3 linked regions of the Mus musculus genome follow. The protein of the gene in region 1 purifies or fractionates together with the protein of each later gene. This does not show direct contact. Links are inferred from orthologs where the notes say so. Each region holds a gene or a part of one and is shown on either strand. Other genes may lie near its edges.

The links.
Region 2: the proteins of Vim (region 1) and Nes purify together in Homo sapiens (affinity purification with mass spectrometry; 3 studies listed by BioGRID and IntAct, counting the BioPlex papers as one, with this or other methods). This does not show direct contact. The link is inferred for Mus musculus from reciprocal best matches to the Homo sapiens genes VIM and NES.
Region 3: the proteins of Vim (region 1) and Sync purify together in Homo sapiens (affinity purification with mass spectrometry; 3 studies listed by BioGRID and IntAct, counting the BioPlex papers as one, with this or other methods). This does not show direct contact. The link is inferred for Mus musculus from reciprocal best matches to the Homo sapiens genes VIM and SYNC.

The regions. Positions count from the first base shown.
Region 1 is NC_000068.7:13,577,300-13,580,458, forward strand, and holds part of Vim (vimentin), read left to right. Parts: intron 1-1,113; coding exon 1,114-1,209; intron 1,210-1,289; coding exon 1,290-1,451; intron 1,452-2,121; coding exon 2,122-2,247; intron 2,248-2,718; coding exon 2,719-2,939; intron 2,940-3,159. UniProt on the Homo sapiens protein: Vimentins are class-III intermediate filaments found in various non-epithelial cells, especially mesenchymal cells. Vimentin is attached to the nucleus, endoplasmic reticulum, and mitochondria, either laterally or terminally.
Region 2 is NC_000069.6:87,977,444-87,981,024, reverse strand, and holds the end of Nes (nestin), read right to left. Parts: coding exon 995-3,581; 3' UTR 574-994; downstream 1-573. UniProt on the Homo sapiens protein: Required for brain and eye development.
Region 3 is NC_000070.6:129,290,618-129,294,268, reverse strand, and holds part of Sync (syncoilin), read right to left. Parts: intron 1,043-3,651; coding exon 1-1,042.

The sequences.
Region 1 (3,159 bases):
CCTTCTTGCCCGAGGAGCATATCTCTGCAAATGCAAGACCTGGATTTTGAACAATGAATTACTACTTGATACGAGGCTAGCCTGGGAACCTGGATGCCAGATAACTGAGTGCTTATTCTAAATTCCAAAGATAAGCATCTGAAGGTTTGAATACAGGAAACAAAAAAGAGCATGCATATATGTTAACCCTTCTGAGCTCAATTTTAAATGATTTTTAAAAAATATGTAATGTGTTTGTGTCTGTGTGAGTGTATAGGACATTTCTGCAGGCTTGCATGAGGCCAGAAGAGGGCACCTGATGCCCTGGAGTTGGAATCATAAACCTTCATGAACTGCTCCATGTGGGTGCTGGGAACCAAACTAAAATCCTCTGAAAGAACAGCATTCTTTACTACTAAGCCTCACTTTAGAAAACATTTTAATTTTATTTTTGAAGCTCTCATTTTTATATTACGTGTACTCAAGCAAACATGAAGTTGGACAATCTCATCAACTACTATCATCACAAAATTACAGACTTATTAAATGTGACAGAGGTTTAAAACTGAAAATGAATTTTTCCATATAGTTCACCATACCATGTCATTGTGCATATACATGTGTTTATTTTTAACTTGTCTACTAGTTAGCTTCAATACAACCAAATGGTTTCCTATTCATTTTTAAAGCTAAGAATGAATATTGGAATGTGACCCTAAATGATTTATAAATTTATCAAGGGTCATGAAATTTTCAGCACCTTTTCTACAATAAGGAGAATGGGTTTACATGGTTAATTTTTGAACAAATAAATAAATAAATAAATAAATAAATAAATAAATAAATAAGGGGCTGTAGAGACAGGTCAATGGTTAAAAGCACTGGCTACTCTTTTAGGGCACCTGGAATTCAATTTGCAGAACCCACAGGGCTGCCCACACTCTTCTCCAGTTCCAGGGCATCTTTTGCTCTCTTATTGCTTTTGTGGATACCACATGCTCGTGGCATACTTATATACATGCAGGCAAAACACCTTTATACACAACATAAAGTGAAAAAGGGATTAATATAAATAAGTTAGATAAAGGACAGACTTTATCACCCTCCACATCATCTTTTCTCTTTTCGAAATAGGATGTTGACAATGCTTCTCTGGCACGTCTTGACCTTGAACGGAAAGTGGAATCCTTGCAGGAAGAAATTGCCTTTTTGAAGAAACTGCACGATGAAGTAAGTGACACCAATTTCTGTGGGTGAACAAAGCTGCGACCGTGTAGTCTACGACCTCTCTGTGTCTGTTCTTTCTCCAGGAGATCCAGGAGCTGCAGGCCCAGATTCAGGAACAGCATGTCCAGATCGATGTGGACGTTTCCAAGCCTGACCTCACTGCTGCCCTGCGTGATGTGCGCCAGCAGTATGAAAGCGTGGCTGCCAAGAACCTCCAGGAGGCCGAGGAATGGTACAAGTCCAAGGTATGAAATGAGCCAGAGTGGCAAGAACCTCTAGCTCTCAGACACGTGCCTCTAATTCCATTAGTAACCTCCAGCTCTACTCAGAAGCTGGCTTAAAGCTTGGACCGCCATTGTTGTTTCACAGCACCCCTTCCCCCTCATCTCCATTCACAGTTTCCTTTAGTATGGCAGACTCCCTTTCCACTCATTGTCTTCCCTGACTTCAAAGAATACCTTACTCTCATGCTCTTGACTGCCACCACTTGGAAAGCATTGCAGTAGAGCAAATACTGTTTGAAAACGCAATGCTGGTGTTCTGCTTCTCTTTCCCTGGTTTTCCAAAAGACGTTCAGACAAATTCTAGGAAACACACAGGCAGGATGAAGATGCCTCTTTGTTCTAAGTGAGTGAAAACTCATGGAAGTGAACAATCTCTACTTCTTTTCTTTTCTTTTCTTTTCTTTTCTTTTCTTTTCTTTTCTTTTCTTTTCTTTTCTTTCTCCTCCTCCTCCTCCTTCTCCTCCTCCTCCTCCTCCTCCTCTTCTTCTTCTTCTACTTCTTCTTCTTCTTCTTCTTCTTCTTCTTCTTCTTCTTCTTCTTCTTCTTCTTCTTCTTCTTCTTCTTCTTCTTCTTCTTCTTCGACTAAGCTCACAACCAAAAACAACCTCTATTTCTGATTCCTTCTTGACAGTTTGCTGACCTCTCTGAGGCTGCCAACCGGAACAACGATGCCCTGCGCCAGGCCAAGCAGGAGTCAAACGAGTACCGGAGACAGGTGCAGTCACTCACCTGTGAAGTGGATGCCCTTAAAGGCACTGTGAGTACTACAGCAGCAAAGGGGGGGAAATACCGTGCTCAGTACTATTCTGCTGACTAGGTTAACAATGAGACCTGTACAAATAAATTAAACACACACGGACACACACACACACACTTATCCAAAGAGAATGAATTATCAAGATAGTTTTAAGGATTATTTAATGAGTACCTTGAAAGTCTTAGTTTACATATGTTATTGATTGTAATAAGAGGGGTTTTAGAGGTTACTCCTGTAACCTCATCACTCTGGAGAATGAGGCAGGGGGATTATAAATTCACAGTTAAGCTAGGCTGCATGTAAAAGTGTTATTTCATCAAAGCAAAACATGGAACTGGGTGCTTGTGTTCTCTGTTCAAAGCTAGTGGGCACCTACCATTAAAAGAATTACTGTACCTTATTTATGAATATTTTGGGGGACAGCCGGGTTTTCTGGGAAATCACATGAGAAGCCATTTTTGCTTTCTGCAGAACGAGTCCCTGGAGCGCCAGATGCGTGAGATGGAAGAGAATTTTGCCCTTGAAGCTGCTAACTACCAGGACACTATTGGCCGCCTGCAGGATGAGATCCAAAACATGAAGGAAGAGATGGCTCGTCACCTTCGTGAATACCAAGATCTGCTCAATGTTAAGATGGCCCTGGACATTGAGATCGCCACCTACAGGAAGCTGCTGGAAGGCGAGGAGAGCAGGTATAGAAGGCAAACGTGCATGTGTGAACTAACTCACAGTCGTCTTTCTAGGAAGATCTCATTTAACCCAGACACCATATATATGAGGAACTTAACGTTGCAGAGAGTAACTTGCTGTGGTCAGAGATAATTAATAGCAGAGTAGATTTGAACTCACAGCCATGCAAAAGACAATACGTTCTCCCTCTATAAATTCTTCTGGTTCATGTTTCTGTGTGGA
Region 2 (3,581 bases), on another chromosome or scaffold:
TGTGGGACCTGGTTCAGAGTCACTCCGGCATTATGTAGCGCACTGCACCTGGCAGCTCTCTTACCTTCTCCTGGCCCTGCTATCCACACTTCTTCCCTCTCTCCTGCTTCAGTGCCATGGGAGGCCTCAGTTGCCCAAAGCAGAGGCTTCCTCCAATCCCCTCCTGTTCTCCCTGCCCCAGGCAGCCACCCAAAGCTGCCTCTGTGTGGGGCTGGGTTTGCGGTTCAGAGAAACTGTTGACCTGAGGCTGTTGACCAGGCTAAAGCTGGCCGTGGCCTCTTTCCTCCCTGCCCCCACTCCAGCCCAGTCACTCATCACAGGCTAGACAACTGTTTGGGTTTGGGAGCCAGGGGGCTAATTATGCTGGAGTCACAGAGGGGCTAGGTAGGAGGACATTCAGTGAGAGGGCCCTGTAATCAGAGCTATGGGAGAGATGACAACCTGGCCTCCCTGAGAGGCGGCCCCTTCCCCTCCTCTCCCCCAGGCCTAGCTCATGCGTCCTCTCCCAGCCTCTCCACTCCATTGCTTCTCAGTCAGAAGAGTCCCTGAAGGCTAGAAGAAAGCAGCCAGACATTGTAGGTAGGGATACAGCTTTATTCAAGGGAGGAAGAGAGAAACAAGATCTCAGCAGGCTGAGATGATGAGAGTCACTCATCATTGCTGCTCCTCTGGGCATGCACCAGACCCTGTGCAGGTGGTGCTACTGTAGACAGGCAGGGCTAGCAAGCTCTGGCCAGAGCAGTCTCGTGGGAAAGCTCTGGGCCCAAGCCTCTTCCAGCAGGTGAGCCACAGAAGAAAGGGGGCGTTGAACTATAGGCTCAGCTGACCTGAGCCTTCAGGGTGATCCAGGCAGGATCTCACCTGTCTCAGCCAGCCACACCTCTCCACGAGAGATACCACAGGTCAAGTTATCAAAGCTAAGAGTGCTGGCCCAGAGCAGGGAGGGACATTCCCCCCACCCCCCACTAAGTCCTCAGTGCCAGAGGGGCAGTTTCTAATCTTCCCCTGAGGACCAGGAGTCTCCATCTACCCCACTCAGAGTGAACTTCAGCGGCTGGCTTGGGCCTAGATGCACAGGAGACCCTACTAAAGGGGCCTTGAGGGTACCCTGTTCCTGTAAAGGGATGCCTTGATCCTCGTCCCCATGCAGAACCACCTGACCCTCAGCCTGCTCTAGTCCATTCTCCATCCTCCCATTCACTTGCTCTGACTCCAGGTTGGGGCCCTGGCCACTGATATCAAAGGTGTCTCCTGCCCCTGGGACCACGCTAGTCACCTCTTGGGGGGCATCTAAATGGTCAATCGCTTGACCTTCCTCCCCCTCCAAGGAAGCAGACTCAGACCCCTCTGACCCGGAAGGCTCAGCACTGTCCTGAGACACCGTCTCTAGGGCAGTTACAAGAACATTAGCTGCAGCCCCACTCAAGCCATCATCCCAGAGGCCACTGTCACCCACAGATTCATGTTCCAGGTCCCCTCTCTGGGTGACATCCTGGACCTTGACACCTCCACCAGAGGGCCCTGGCCCCCACCACTGAGTCCCTGACTCTGCTCCTTCTTCTTCATCAGCATCTTCTTCCTCTCCCTCTTCCCCACTCTCTTCCTCATCAGCAAACCCATCAGACTCCCCACCCTGATCCCAGCATGCAGGCTGCAGTACGGGGGGCTCTTGGCCCAGATGATCGGACACCTCTTTGGGAACCCCTGGAAGAAGAGAGGCCTCAGTCCCTAGGTCCTCAAATTCCTCAGATGAGAGGTCAGAGTCATGGCCTTGCTGCTCTTCCTCTGGTGGGTCACTGAGACCCTGGGCAGCCAGGGCAGCAGGACTCCAGCCTTCCTTCCTGGCCTCCCCTTGAGGGAAAAGCCTCTGTTCTCCAGCTTGCTCCCACTTTGGGGAGGCAGGAGACTTCAGGTAGAGGCCCAAGGGAGTAGAGTCAGGGAGAGTTTCCCCTAACTCATCTGCCTCACTGTCTTCTCTGCCCTCCTCCCAATCCTGGAGGCCCTCAGGAATCTCCCCACGACCAAACTCTGGCTCATCTTCTACTCTTCCCAGTGCTTCAGTCCCAGCTTCCGGCTGCCACCCAGCCTCCTGGATCCCCTCAGCTTGGGGCTGCAGCTCATGGGCATCTGTCAAGATCGGGATGGGTGAACAGGGTTCCAGGAGCTTGGGACCAGGGACTGTTAGCGCTGCCTGTAGACCCTCATCTTCCTCTGTCTTAGGGGGCCTGGGCTGAGGGGCATGGCTGCCCTCATGGTCTGAGGTCTCCAGCGAGGCCTCCTCTTCTCCCCAGCCCTCCCCAGACTCTTCCCAGCCCTTGCATTCCAGAGTCTCACTGCTAGTCTTGGGTAATTCAGGGATGCCTGAGTCCAGAGCACCTGCCTCTTTTGGTTCCTTTCCAGGCTCTTCCAAGCCCTGATCTATCTTTGCCTTCACACTTTCCTCCCCCAGGGATGGGTGAATGGCCTCCTCCCTGGCGAAATGCCTTGGGTCCTCTAGCCCTACCACTTCCTGCTCGAGTTCCAGTCCAGCTCTGGCAGCCTCTAACCCAAGGGTCACCTCTACGGAGTCTTGTTCACCTGCTTGGGCTCTGTCCTCATCTTGCTCTGTTGCCTCTGGCATTCCCTGAGCAACTGGGACCTCTAGGGTTCCCGTCTGCTCTGGTTGTCCCTCCAGGTCATCGAGGGGCTCAGCAGGGACCCTCTGCTCCTTGGGCTCCGAGCTCCCCAGACTCCAGGCCTCCCCCACAGCATCCTGCAGCAGCTCTCCCTCCTCTACAGCTTTCTCCTCCCCACCTTGGCCCCTCAGATGCAACTCTGCCTTATCCTCAGTTTCCACTCCTGTAGCCCCCAGGGATGCTTCCTGACCTTCTCCATCCTCCACCACATCCTCCCACCTCTGTTGACTTCCAGATCCAGGCAGCTCCCATTCCACCTCTCCCAGAGACCTCAGAGACTCTTGGTGCTGCTCCCTCTCCGGGCCCTCTTCCACTTCCAGGCACTGCTGACTGTCCTCCACCCCTCCTGGTGATTCCACAGTCTCTGGGTTCCACTTGCCCAGAGATCTCAGTTCTTGACTCTCCCTTTCAAGGGGTGTCAGCACCTCTTGGTTCTCATCCACACACCCCAGTGGTTCTTGGGTCTCATCTTCTAGAGGTTCTATTGTCTCACTAGTCACTTCCGTAGACCACAATGGCTCTTGAGTATCTACAGACTTCCTTCTTCCCAGGCACTCTCCCACAGTCTCCAGTGATTCTATGTTCTCTGTTTCTGAAGACTTCACTGTCTCCATACCTCCTTCATTCAGTGACACTAGTGACTCTTGATTCTCCTTGTCAAGAGATCTGACTACTTCCTGGTCATTTCTAAGAGGCTTTGGTAACTCTGGATCCACCTTTTCTGGAGGGTTCACTGTCATCTGCTCATCTTCTACAGCCCTCAGTGGCTGCTGGGTCTCTTGTTCGAGTTTCTGTTCCTCTTGGTCCTGTCCTGCTAGAGACCTCAGGGACTCTAGATTCTCTTTTTCCAGAGACCCAAAGGTCTCCTGGCTCTCATCTTCAAGAGACTTCCTGGAGTCCTGACTC
Region 3 (3,651 bases), on another chromosome or scaffold:
CAGAGCCTCCCTCATCTCCTGGATCTCCGCCTGGGTGTCCTGTAGAGCTTTGGTCCCGGCCTCTTTCCTTTCCAGGAGCCGGAGCAGCTGAGGCTCATACTCCTCCTCCAGGCCCTGGCGGCTCTCGGCCATGAGATTTTCAAACTGTGTCGACAGCCGTCGGCTCTCCTGGAGAAAGTGCCCATCGCTCTGGGTCGGGGGTGCTTCTAGTTGTTGCTGTAACTGCTCCTTCTGCTTCTGACAGGCATCTCGGAGCTGGGTCAGTTCTTCCGAGAGCTGGGCTGCCCGAGTGGTCAGCGCTTCCCTGCAGTCGGCAAACTGAGCCACATCCTGCTGACGGCACTCCAGCTGGTATTGGTAAGCCACGCATTCCTTGGTCACCTTGAACAGCTTCTGCTTCACCGTCCGGATCTCCTCCCTGAGCCCGTCCCTCTCCAGCTCTGCCTGTGCGTGGAGCTTGTAGGCAGCCAGGATGTCCTGGTGGACTTGCTGCACCTCCTGCAGGGCTGGCTCCCGGAGTAGCACGAGCTCGTGGATTAGCTGGTCCCTCTCCTCTTCCAGCTGGGACACGGCTTGTACACACTGCTGGAAACGAGCTTCCAGCCGCTCCAGGTCCTCCACGCTGAGGGGATCCTCCTCGGTGTTGGGAATCGGTTGAGCAGGCAGGCTTCCCTCCGTGGCCACCATTTCTCCCTCACAAGCAGTTGGGCTCTTAGCTGGCTCCACAGGCTGCTCTGAAATTTGCACCTCATCTGGCGTCACGGATTCCTCCACAGACAGCATCTCCTCTGGGCGCACGGGCTCTTCTAGGCCCAGCGCCTCGTCTGGCTGCCTCGATTCGTCGATAAACAGTGTCAGTGCTGGCTTCTCATATTCTTCCTCATAAAAACTCTCTTCAAAGTCCCCCGATGCCCCCAGATAGAGAATGTCCTCTAGGTTCACAGTCCCCTCCAAAGACAGAGTGGCCTCTGGGTTAAAGGTCTTGGCCTCCTTCGGGGATTCTGACTCCTGAAGAGGAAAACTCGCCTCGGTGTGTGGTTCCCTGCAAGAGAGATGATGGCCGTGAAAGAGCAGCCTGTGCTCCACTGAGTGTCAACAGGGCCTCTGTCTCACGGTTAGCTGCAGCAGGTTCTCTTAGCTACTTATGGGGAATTGAATATGCTTGGCCCTTGGGGCATTATTAATTAGAGGGTGTGGCCTTATTGGAGGAGGTGTGGCCATGTTAAAGGAAGTGTGTGTAGGGGTGGGTTTTGAGCTATGTAGAAGAGGAAGAGACCCGCCATCTGCCCCACCTCGAATCAAAAAGGAGAACTCTCAGCTCTTCCAGCACCCTGCCTGCCTGGATGCTGCCGTGCTTCCCGCCATGATGATAAATGGACTGAACCTCTGAAACTGTAAGCCAGCCCTGGTTAAACGTATTCCTTTATGAGAGTTGCCATGGTTCACAGCAATGAAACCCTAAGGCACTACTCCCCTCCCCAGTCTGCCTCTTCCACACACTGCCCACCATTCGAATTCCCTGACACCACAGCATCACTGGCTAGTCTCTGCTTACATCACTTCATGGAGAGGACGCTATTCTCAGACACAGCTGGGTGTTCCACAGTTCTACACATGTTCAGGGGCAATTGGGACCACATAGAGAGACTGTGCCCGTAAAACAAGGAAAGACAACCGTGCTGGTGCCTGCCTGTAATCCCAACAGGCTGAGGGAGGGGGGTCAGAAATGCAAGGCCAGCCTCAGCTACTTAGTGAGCTGAAGGCCAACCTGGTTTTGTGAGAATCTGCCACTCCCTGACAAAATAGGGGGGATTCAGTGAGTGGCTCAGCAGATAAGGGCACTTGCCACCAAATCTGATAAACTGAGTTCAATCCCTGGCTTCCAAATGGAGAGAACTGATTTCTACAGGTTGTCCCAGAAACACACACACACAATAAATGAGTAGGCATTAAAGTGGCAGGGTTGAGACTGGAGAGGTGACTTAGTGGTAAAAAAGCACTGGCTGCCCCTGCAAAGGACCAGAGTTCGGGTCCCAGCACAACCACCTGCAACTCTGTCTTCTAACTCCAGGCATCCCTCCCTGCATACATGCAAAAAACAAATTTAAAAAATTAAATCTAGTTTGAGGCCAGCCTGGTCTACAGAGTGAGTTCCAGGACAGCCAGGGCTATAGAGGGAAACTCTGTCTGAAAAGAACAAACAAACAGGGCTGGAGAGATGGCTCAGTGGTTAAGAGCACCGACTGCTCTTCCAGAGGTTCTGAGTTCAAATCCCAGCAACCACATGGTGGCTCACAACCACCCGTAATGAGATATGACACCCTTTTCTGGTGCATCTGAAGACAGCTACAGTGTACTTAGATATAATAATAAATAAACCTTTAAATAAATAAAATCTAAAAGCAAACAAAACCAACCAACCAAAAACCGCAAAGGGAGGAGAAGACGGTTCAGTAAAGTACCTGCTTTCCACACACAAACACGAGAGCCTGAGTGTGGGCCCCCACAGCCCTGGGGTAACACCTGTAAGCCTGGCACTGAATGGCAGTGGCAGGAGAACCTGTAGCTTAACTGGTGAACTCCAGACCCAGCGAGGGATCCTATGAAAAACCGTTGAGGACATACAAAATTGACCTCTGGCCTCTACACACGCGCACACATTGTGCAAACACACAAACACACACAGGTAATAGCTGAGGCCGCAGCTCAGTGGGTAGAGTGCTCATGGAACATGTCGGAGGTCTTGGCCTTGATCCCTAGCACCACATAAAACCTGCTGTGGTAGATAGTACGCGCCTATTCCTGTAACCTCAACACTCAGGAGGTAGAGGCAGGAGAATCAGAGGTTCCGGGTCATTCTCACCAGCAGAGAGAGTTCAGAATCAGTCTGTATGTGTACAGAATCATATGTGTGTGCACACATACAATCTATGCGTATGGACTCCAAACACTAATGTTGCGAATCTTGCTGAATAGCTTTTCTCCATCATTCACATTCAGATGAAGATAATCAAAATCTACATCCTCTCTGATGCATGCCTTTAATCCCATGCAGAAGCAAGGGGGGTCCCTGTAGGTTCTAAGCCAGTCTGATCTACATAGCAAGTTCCCAGGCCAGCCAGGGCAACATTGAGTCCTTTTATTAAAACAAACAAACAAAACAACAAATGAATAAATGACATGATTGTTGAGATCAGCTTCAAATGTATATTCTTTTTGCATTTTATTTAATGTGTACATGTGTGTGTGTTGTGATGGAGGCGTTCGTGCCACAGTAGAGGTCAGAGAGCGGCTTGTAAGAGGCACTTCTCTCCTTCCAGTGCAGGTTCTGGGGTTGGAACTCAGGTCATCATACTTGACCGTAGCTCAGCTGCCCTACACTATAGCTCTCCTCACCTTGAGACAGGTCAGTTAGCTAGAAGCCTGCCGCAAACTGACCTGTACCACAGGAAGTCTTCTCCATTCCACCATTAGGACCCTAGTCCAAGCTGTGGTCTGTTTACTCTGTTTATATCAGCCTTTTTGGTTTGTTTATTTGTTTGTTTGTATTGTTGTCTTTTTTCTTTTCTTTCTTCCTTTCTTTCTTTCTTTCTTTCTTTCTTTTTTTTTTTTTTTTTTTTTTTTTTTCGAGACAGTTTCTCTGTATAGCCT